Linked DNA regions of Oryzias latipes. The protein of the gene in region 2 purifies or fractionates together with the protein of the main gene of each other region. This does not show direct contact. Links are inferred from orthologs where the notes say so. Each region holds a gene or a part of one and is shown on either strand. Other genes may lie near its edges.

Region 1 (5,627 bases), on a different chromosome or scaffold from region 2:
TCTCATTCCCGGTTGAACGCCGCCTCCGACCGACTGACCCCCCTGTTGCTGCTGCAAATTCTCCGTCAACAGATTACCACTGGTACCCATACCAGCATTTCCGAGGAAGCCCATTCTAGGCGAGCCGTTCAGAACCTGAGCTCCCATAAGCCCTTGATGTTGCTGTCCAGTGTTGCCGTTTTGGGCGCCCATCAAGGCAGCTGCCCGACTGAGCGCCTGCACGCCTCCCACCATTCCAACCTGCTGTGTTAATCCAGGTTGTTGCTGCTGGCCCTGAGGGTGCATGCCTTGAGGTCCACTAGAAGAAACATTTATGTTCCCCATCATTGCCATGGAGGGCCCAGATGGTGCACTGCTGGAGGTAGGACCGCCCTGTTGAGCCGGTGCTCCCGCACGCAAAAGCTCAGACAGCTGTTTGTGTTTCGCAGCCGCATCCTGGCCACTCCCACCAATCCCGACTCCAAGCCCCCCAAGACTGGTATGGAGCTGACTGGCATCCCCTCCATTTGTCAACCCCAGGTCTGAAGAATTGATGAGCTCATCTGGGAGGTCATGCTCCAGATCAAAGAGGGAACCAAAATCTACCCAAGAAAACAGAAAAATCTCAATGATGACCAAAAGAAAACATTTCAAATCAATTTAAAAACAAGAAATAATCTCTTCATTTTCTCCCTTTAGCCTCTATAATAAATCAGCGGCAGCCTCTCATAACCTGCACTAATCTCCTGGGTGTCTGTTTGTGGTTTGGTGCAGTTCCATACATGAAGAGCAAACGCAGTGTGGACAAGGTGGGAAGCCGCAGAAGGTAAACACTCCACTACCTGGATAGTTTATACAGTTATTTGGTACAGGGGCGCGAAAATGTAAAAAGTTCGAGAAATTCAACACGCAGGAAGACGCTGTAAGATCAAATATCTAGACGACCCCAAAATGTAACCAAAGGGGGAAAAAAGTTTCCTAACGTAGAGCCTGAACTCAAACTTCACAAATAAAACGGCACACTTCTGACTTTCAACCTGACCTAAAACAGAGTCCAAATGAGCGTGTTCATTAAAGATCCGGAATTTAATGTGCATTATTTCAGGGTAAATAAGAGGAAAAAAAACAGATGTGTATAAGTAAAAATCTAAGTGTAACCAAGCGTTGTAGTAACAAAATGCACTGAGGAGAAATTATGCCATTCTACTAAAGTTTATTTTCTTTGTAGGGTTAAGTGCTAACTATTAGCATTCTGGAAATGAAACATAGTGTCATTTTTAAAACAAACAAAAAAAATAAGGAGCACCGTTTTAGTTTAGACAATGGGAGGCAACAGAAAATTTTAAGCGTTAAATCAATTTAGTTCGAGAAAATAAAAAACAGACAAACTTACAGGAATTACAACTTTGATTTCTGCGATTTTTGTTTTTTTATTATAAAACTGTAAAAGGTATTAATGGCTACTTTTGGTAGCTGCTGAACCATCACCCAAGTTAATGAAGTGACGAACAATAGCTAGCTTAACAATAGTTCTGCATCCATAAGAGTATCCATGGAAAAACGTATTTCCAGGACATGAAATGTGCTTTTCAGCTTAAAAAAAACAAACAAAGAGTTTGGTGATGACTGAAAGGCGAGCTTTAACAAGGGAGAATAATATGCAACAAACCATTTCCTATTTTCTTTACAGAGTTCAGCTGAGCCGCTCCGGCGGTGGGGGTGTCTTTTTAAGCTAGTTAGCTCGCCCGCTCGCCTCGGTTGCAGTTACTTTCCCTTAAAGCTGCTTCGGAAATGCCTGCTATTTGTCTGGAAATTCGTCGGGTATGTCGTATGGGTTTCATTTGAAGTGCACGCGCTCCAATTCTCCCACTCAAGTCCCCTTTAAAGTGGTCAAATATCTGAAAGCGAACTGATGTGTCTTGACTCCCATTGTTTGGAAGTGAATCTTTTAGTTGGGGCTAGTTAGCCTGTTGAGGCTAACATCAAAACAGAACTGCTGGGAAGTTGCTCCCGCTGCACAACTGCATTGCTTTTCTCCGGATCTGCCTTTAGACACTTTCACAGACAAACCGCAAGCACATAAATATGTAAACAGATATGAGGACAGCAGAGAGTTAAACCAAACTAAGTTGCTGTGCCACTTTTTTGGGGACTTAACTACCGACTACGCGCGTGACACGAAAAGCCCCCCGGAAAGATGCTAGTTTAGTATCTTAATTTTCTTCATCATGTGTGCATGCAACATACCGTTTCCATCACTGGCAGAGACAGACAGCGCTGGAGAGGATAGCTTGGGCCTCTTAGCTGAAGGCGGGCCGGACTCCAGGACATTATCGGCCATATTTTTTACGAATAAAAATAAGAATAAAACTCTGTAGATCCACCGAGGGCGAGTGTGTTCCCTTTATTCCGGCTCCCTTTAGTTTTTAAGTGTTTCTGATCGTTCCCCCACCGCTCGGGGGGACGGTAGGGGAGAGGACGGCTCTGTTGGAGTCTCTCTCTCTCAGTTCTCCCCCTCGGCTTGTACCTCTCTGCAGATATCAGTCCCCCCTCCCCTGTCGGAGATTTTGTTTCTTCACAGATTTGAACAGGAGGAGGTGGGAAGGTGGAGTCAGCGAAAAGGCAAACGTGCGGCCCTCTGACAACCTCATGTAGCCTCCTGTGCGTCCCAGGAGCCGTCCACTGAGCCACTCTCAGTCCTGCGGGCCATCATCCACACAGAAACCCCCCCCACCAGTAAAGGATCCACAACTGTTTTGGCGACAGTCAAGTGTGTGTGTGTGTGTATGTGTGCGTGGGGGGTATCCCCTCGATAACTTCTGGAGAACTCCTGCAGGGGCTTCACAAATCCACTGTTAGCATCTCTCATCGGACAACTGGAAATTCCTTTAGTCCTCCAAAGTAAACGGCAGCGTTGAGTCAAAAAAGGAGAAAAAGATGGGGGGTGGGGGGCACCTGCATCCACTCAAATAAAAATCAAATCCATCCCATAGTTCTGCTCGTTCAGCTGTGCACTTAGTGACCATGCAAGGCACAGAAAAAAAGCAGGTATTGCACATTTGGTTGATGCAACCCCAACCAGAGCTGTCTTTTGCAGTCAGATTGCAAAGATTTAAAAAATCTCCCTGAATAAAAAAACAAAAAACACTTTTTCTTCCTCAATTCTTGAAGGCAATCATCTAATGAGCGATCAGCGGGACAGCTCGATTGATCCAGGCAGTTTCATTTGGAAGATCTGCTTTGTGCTCCTTCCCTCTCGGATGAAAAAAGCCGGATAAAAATTGTCACTTTTCTTTATTTTTTTTCTGCCCCCCCTGGTTTAAAAGGACACCTCGGCCACGCGTGGACAAGCAGAAAGCAGAGCAAAGGACGAAACGAGGATTTTCAGGCAAATGACAGTAAAGATCACCCGACAAGATGATGGCTTCTTCTTCTTCAGATGACCATAAACACCTCCCTGAAATATTTCGGAGCTGACCAAAATCCGCTCTGGACTCTTTTGTGATGGTGATTGCCCCCCCTTCGTGCTGGTCCTGGCAATTGCCCCCTTCTCTTTAAACCCGTCTTTCTTTCTTTCCACCTCTCCCGTCTGCCCGGCAGCAATTTATTTATATAATTGTCTATGCGGGCTCGATCCTTCCTCCGCGGCGAACACATTCTGAAATTTCATGTTGATGTTTTCTCCTTTTCGCAGGTTTTTTCCTCGTAGCTCCCTTCTTCTTCCGCCTCTCCTCCCCGTCGCCGTTCCGCAAACACCCCCTTCCTTGGATTTTTCGGCGTATTTCCTTCTCATGCATACATTTATGTTCCTAAATACATATGCCGCCGAGCGGTTTTCTGCCTCCACGGACGTCTTATCTTTTTGGTCGTGATGCTTTCCCCTCCGCCGGAAAGCACGGAAAGGACTCGGCTGCTCTCGCTTCCCCCAGCGGTTCCCGGAGCGGCTGCCGTCGGCTGCCGGAGTCGCTCCTTCTATCGGTTATCTCCTGTTTCTGACGGTCTGTCCGCACAACAAAATGGCGGCTTGTTGTTTCTACTCTGATACGGGGGGAGGGTTTGAGGTACGGCTACATTAGGCGTGAAGGGGAGGAGGGAAGGAGGAAGGAAGGGAAGAAGAGGAGAGGCTGTCTTCGTGAGTGTTCGGGAGTGTCCGGAAGAGGTCCACTAGCGGATCGGTGGTCATCGAATTCAATCTGCGGGGGCCAGCGGCGCCCCGCTTCTCTGCTTTAAGTCCAAAGCAAGAGGAGTTCCGCCGCCGACTCACCATTTTTTACCCCCAAAACGGTTTAAAACTACAACTTTGACGACCCCTCCTCCAATTACTTTAGTAAAAACTGTTTATTTGACTCAAACTATAACTCACTTGCCGGTATTTGAAAATAAAAGCCTAAAATAATTAGAAAAAACACGACACCTGGCATACATTTTAGACATTTTGGACATCTGATGATTAAAAAAAAACAGGTTTACACATGTTAAAACACAATCAGATAAATTCCAAATTGGAGTTTGAGAGTTTGATACCCACTCCAAGTAAAACCGTGTTTTTAACGCGTCCTTTCGGCATTTGCCCCATGATGGAAGACATATATAAAGAAAATGAGGATAAAACCAGTGTTTCTCAGTATTTCTTTATTCTAATCGTTGTAAAGGAGAAGCAGACAAAAAATGCCTTTAATATAACTTTGGGGTGGTGAGGGGCTGTAAGCCAGCTAGAGAAGGTGTAAACAAATGGATGATGGGAAATGAAATCAGACTCACTCCCACCCACTAATCAGAGGTAAATTTCTAATGAACTCTCACCGTTCTCCAGAAACTGACGACACTGTTTTTTTTGTTTTTTTTTTGTCTAAAACTGGTAGAATAAACAGACCACTGGGAATTCACTACAATAGATCAAAAGACAAGACGAGTGGGACTTTAAGATAGCAACATTTTTCATAATTCTTTTTCATAAGGTCTCATATTGTTATAATAAGCATGCTTATTATAACAAAAAACTGTCCTGTACTCCTCTGCAATGTTAATATTTGATGAGGAAAATAATGGCAGTTTGCCTTTAAGTGGCAAGCATCCATCCATCCATCCCTTTCAGGGTTACTGGAGCCTATCCCAGTTGCTGTTGGGTGAAGGGGTTACACCCAGGACAGATCACCAGTCCGTGGAGGGTGCTGTGATTTTCAATCATGTGTCCTCCCCCCCCCCCCCCCCCCCCCCCACACACACATATTTAATATCGGAATGTCTGCAAGTTCTCCAAAATAATTGACTTTGTCTTTTGGGCTCTACCTTGAGTTTTCACCTCAGTAAATTATGCCTCTATCTCTAAAATATCTACCATGAGCCATTCCTCTGATGGATTAATTCCTGATCCTATCCATATTTGTCAATCACAAAGAGAGTCTCAACATCTTCATCTCTACTACCTCCAGCTCTCCTTCTTGTCTCTTTCACAGAGCTTCTAAACTAACAGCATGGCTGCTCTCACCACAGTCTTTACTCATTTCCTTCATTCCCGCTGACACTCTTTAGTCACCCATCACACTGGGAACCTTCATCCACCTGTTCCAACCTGCTTGCATACTCTTCTTCATCTCTTTTACATTCTCTTGTGCTCTAAGGTAAGTTTGGTCCAAAAGACTGTACAG
Region 2 (5,066 bases):
AGAAGAAAACAGAATTTTTACACAAACAAAGCACGCACAAATAGAAGATGTTCAGTGTTTCTATTAGTGGAGCAAAACTGTGGAACAGTACAGAAGCAGAAATAAAGCAATGTCCAAACATAAACATGTTTAAAATAGGATTTAAAAAAAAGGTTTTAAAACGATATTCAAATATATCGGATGGACATATGATGTATATATATATGTAAGTATACATATGTACATTAAATGTATGGGTATATTATTTTTATCTTAATATGCGCATAGTATTTTTCAATTGTAGATTATTCTCAGTATTTATGACAGGACTCTAGAAAAATTATTATATTTTATAGCCACATAGATTATATTATAAAACATTTTATATAAATAAAGAAGCTGCTTGCTAATGTAGTTAATATTGATGAGGAATAGGAGGTGAGTTTATATAAGTAAATACTTCTTCTCACTCCTTTTGGAATATGTATAGTTGTATAATTGTTCATAACACATGTGTTCATGTTTTTTCTGTTTGTGTTTATAATAATCTTTTTTCTCTCGAGTGTGAACGTTTTCTTTATTTTCTCCTTTTTTTTTAAATGTGTGTTTTTTATGTATTCGAAATAAACTTGTTTCCATTCCATTCGACACTGTCATCCTGCACAAGTTCTGAGTAATCTAATATATATTTGAAATATGACGATTTTGCAAAAATCCAGATTTTTGTCAATAATTGTATCCAAGACAGGCTGTATTCTATTTGCAAGAATCAAATATTCCAAAGAATTCCAATTTCTTATAATCACAATTCAATAAGGTGATCGGTCGCCAACTAAGAAAAGAGGATCCTTTCTAGGTTTAGGAATCAAGGTAATCAGTCCTTGAGATAAAGTAGGAAGGAGCGCATATTTGTCGATGCTTTCCTTAAAAACCTTTTGTAAAAATAGAGCTTAATTGTCAGAAAACTGTTTATAGAAAGTGACAATAAGGTCGTCTGTTCCAGGAGGTTTCTTTATTTTTAAATATATTTCATAGCATCTGTGACCTCATTCAAAGAAATGACCTCATCACAACAGACACTGTTTGCTTCACTCACTTGAGTAATGTTACTGACAGAGTTAAGAAAGGTAAGGGAAGTTGGAAGAATAAAACTTACAATAAAAATCAGAACAATATTTTGTCATAGTATTTTTATCATCATAAATAACCTCATTCATATTTAATTGTAAAATAGAATTAATATTGGACTGGTGTTTCTCAAGCCTGAAAAAATAGTCTGAGTTCTGCTCTCCTTCAATCCACCTCCTCCTAAATCAATAGATCAATCGATAAATGCTCCTTCAGCTTTTTGCTTATGTCATCTAACTTGTGCTGTAAATCTATTAAAGCTGTCTTGTCTGTTTCATCAAAGACCTTTGTTGGTTAAGATGTAAGAAGTGCAGTCTTGTATTACTTCTGTCTCATCAGCTTTTCTTTTTTTTCGTCAAGTCAGAGCTATATTTTCTAAAATAAAATTGACAAGTTCGTATTTCAAAAGTTCCCAATTGTTGCAGAATGAGGGTTCAGCTAGTGTTTATTACAATAAATTGTTAAGCAATGAATTTCAAAAATCACTTCCGCATGCTCAAGGATGGTGCAGTTCAATTTCCAAAATAAGACTTTAGAGCCTGAGGCTTTAGGATAACACCACATATCCCATAATGCATCTTGACCAATCAACGTGTCCCTGTAACTGTGGTGCCCACAACCCCGAGGTGAATTTTTGATTAACTCCTGCAGAAACTATGTTGTAGAAAATGACACATTTGTTTAATTTTTTAGCTAAAAATGGCAAAATGATAAATAAAAGACCACTGGAAACGCTTTTAAAATAGATCGAAAAGATATTTGAAGTGGGACTTTAAAGGCCAAACATATTTTGTTTCATTACAAAACAAAAAAAGGTGTACCGGTACATTTATTCACAGTAGTAGTCCTCACTAAAGAAATAAAGTATAAAATATATTATGAAATAACCACAAACAGCCTTTAATAACTTAATAAAAATGTTATTTTTAGGATTCATGTCCACTCCTCTTTCATTATAAAAAATAAAATTGCACAACTGCATCTGATGGCAATTAAAAAAAAACTATCTACAATGAAAAGACCAAACAATGAACCAACAGATGAAAAGAAAAGACCAAAATCAGACTAATACAAGGATAGAAAACTGTATTTTTTTTCCTTAAAAAAAACAACTTACCAACTGCATAAAAAGCATGCACAGAACTGGGGTTTGTTTTATTCACAGTGGTGAAGAAAAAACAAACATATTGTCTTTATCTACATATTACTACCAAACATCGGGTTCAACACAGCAGATAATGGGATCCAACCACACAAAACATGAGCTGATATAACTACATTATAAAGGGCATCACAAAAATGGTACAGAACAGCAGTGTAGAGAAAATACTTGTGTTTCCAACAATAAGAAAACTGCTGTCGTTTGCAAATACAAAAAAAGGAGGGGAAATTTTCAGCAGGAAATAACATTTTGAATTTCCTACCATTAGACCAAAATTTGACAGAGTATGGCTTCATGGCAGTAATTTAATCTCCATGAATGTTGAGCAACAAATCCATGTTCCATTATCGTCCAAACAGGTCCTTAACTAAACTAAAAACTGGTCTTTGGAGCTCGGCAGTGAAAGCTGAGCATGATGATGCCCTTCCGTTTTAATTTCAATACCAGAAAAGTCCACTGGGTGAGCAACTGCACAACCAGATCCCTGGAAGACCAGTCAAAAGGATGAGAGACACAAGGAAAACCCTGGTGAGGTATTTGGTGCAGCGGGGCAGAAAGAAGAACAGATGACATGAAGTGTGCCAGATGTCCACTGGGATGGAGGATCTCTGGCAGGGTAGAGTTCAGCTGAAAGGGTTGATGGCGGCGATGGTTCTATGACACCCGGATCATCTGAGCTACTGTCTCATCTGGTGGAGACTGAGAAAGATCCTGCTCCAGCACCAACAGAGCAAATACATACATCCATGAATAAAAATCAGCAGTAAAAGCTAAGCTACTCTCACAGGTACTTCATTAAGCTTTGAAAAAACATCTGATCTTACCTGCGATAAGCCCAATGCATCTTCTTTGTCCTTCGGGGAGAAGAAACGGCCTCCATCTCCTCGCTTGCGTTGCATAGCGTGACGATGGCGAGACTCGTGTAGATACTTCTGCTAACAAAATATTTCTTTTAATAATGACATTCAGAAACATTTACCAATTACCAAGTTAGCTACGGGTTTTTCTCCTCGCTTTCTGATTCTTTCTTGAAATACGCTAAGCTAATGACCGAGCTTTGTGATTGATGATCTAGAGATTTACATGAAGTCATCACAAAGAGCCTCTTTTACGCTTTAGGTTCCTCCTAAAATGTGTCAACTTCACTTATTGACAAGTGTTGTTTGTTAATACAAACTAATAATCTAGAATGACAAATTTTACAAACCCTCCTCTCTTTGGGGATCTTGCCCTCAGCCTCCAGTTTGGCTCGGGCCTGTCTTCGCTTCAAAATACGATGGTACTGTTTGGCATTGACATACAGAGGCTCCTCCTCCAGCATCTCAGCCCCTGGCAGGGGGATCCGCTGCATTGTGGGAACTCCTCCACTTCCAGGAACCATCTACAAAAAAGCCCCAAAGAAAGCATACAGTGTTTAGACCTCTATATCTTCATAGTGTATGCTCACACACACAGCTGTTGAGTTGGATAGATGTACATAGATGTCTATGGTGAATGAATTAAACTTCACATGAAAACAGAGAAGAAGAGTGTGTTGACTGAATGTCTTTAGTTAGTTTTAAAAAAGGTTGTTTATTCCTGGAGAGTAAAAATGCTTCTGCCGGTACTCGTGCTCTACAAGAGGTGGTTAGTGCAAACCTATAAATTAGTAACCCTTGAATTATCAAGATTATGTTGCCAACATTACAATCACAATCTAAAAGATCCACTGACCCACCTCGCACCCTGGTGTTAGTCTAGAAAAAGGAAAGAGGGGGCAGGGGGGGTATGATGTTGGGTACCACGGCATAGGGTCTTACCATGACCATTCCACCTGCATTGACCATGTTGCCGGAGACGGGCAGGGTGACGGTCACAGTGCCTTGGCCACTGTTGGTAGTGTTTGTGTTGGCACCCCCTGCCTGTACAATCTGAGCTCCTGCCAGGCTGGCAGCTGGAATTGTTATCATTCCTGCACGACAAAAGAATAATCATCTCATGTGAGACATGCTGTTCAATGCTGCTGCGGTCTATAAAGCTTTAAAAATAGAGTGGCGGAGGCTGGGCTCACCCTGCTGCAGGACAGATCCATCTGTGTTGACCGGCTGGTACACGATGGTCTGTCCATCAGCTGTCTGTGCCACCTGTTGACCCTGCACACTGATCTGCTGCCCCTGTATCAGAGGAGAGGTCAAGGAAAATAAATCTTACTAATAAAATTCCCTCCAAAAATGATCAGCATATATTTTTTTAATGATGTCTAACTGCTTGACCTGGAATTCAATTCTGTCAATATCCAACTTAAACAAATGCCCTGAAGCATAAGTCAGATTTGGACCAACAGATAAGCAGTTAGAGTGTTAAGTTGAGTTGATGAGAGTTGATGAGTTACCTGGTTCTGTCCGGCTGTGATGGCTGTCTGCGGTTGCTGAATGATGATTTGCTGTTGACCCTGCTGACCCTGGAGCTGAAGAGTCTGGCCACCTTGCAACTGTATCTGACCTGGCTGTACCAGCTGGATCTACACACAGACACGTTTTCCAGGGCACAGCAGCACAGGAGAAGAAAATTCAGCGATTCCATACTGTCAACACCTCGCTGTAATATGATTACATATGTTTAAAGGGCAAATGAGTTGGTCTGCGGAAGAAATATCTATTACACAGACCCCTGCAGTAATGTCACACGCAAGGGGTCTGTTTTTAACTATTATCAAGTGAAGTTAGAAGGTTGTCACTGCAAGCTTTCCTTAAACTAAAACCATTACTTGGATTCTCCTTTACCAATAGAGTCTCACGTTTCTAAGACTAAGATGTTC

What was found. Proteins that work in one complex are often made in the same cells at the same time.
Region 1: the proteins of nfya (region 2) and histone acetyltransferase p300 purify together in Homo sapiens (affinity purification with western blotting, with the first as the bait; 3 studies listed by BioGRID). This does not show direct contact. The link is inferred for Oryzias latipes from reciprocal best matches to the Homo sapiens genes NFYA and EP300.

The regions. Positions count from the first base shown.
Region 1 is NC_019866.2:19,374,857-19,380,483, forward strand, and holds the start of histone acetyltransferase p300, read right to left. Parts: upstream 4,066-5,627; 5' UTR 2,321-4,065; coding exon 2,227-2,320; intron 582-2,226; coding exon 1-581. UniProt on the Homo sapiens protein: Functions as a histone acetyltransferase and regulates transcription via chromatin remodeling. Acetylates all four core histones in nucleosomes. Histone acetylation gives an epigenetic tag for transcriptional activation.
Region 2 is NC_019865.2:10,743,800-10,748,865, reverse strand, and holds the end of nfya (nuclear transcription factor Y subunit alpha), read right to left. Parts: intron 4,770-5,066; coding exon 4,641-4,769; intron 4,423-4,640; coding exon 4,320-4,422; intron 4,221-4,319; coding exon 4,069-4,220; intron 3,651-4,068; coding exon 3,477-3,650; intron 3,205-3,476; coding exon 3,094-3,204; intron 2,981-3,093; coding exon 2,924-2,980; 3' UTR 1,770-2,923; downstream 1-1,769. UniProt on the Homo sapiens protein: Component of the sequence-specific heterotrimeric transcription factor (NF-Y) which specifically recognizes a 5'-CCAAT-3' box motif found in the promoters of its target genes.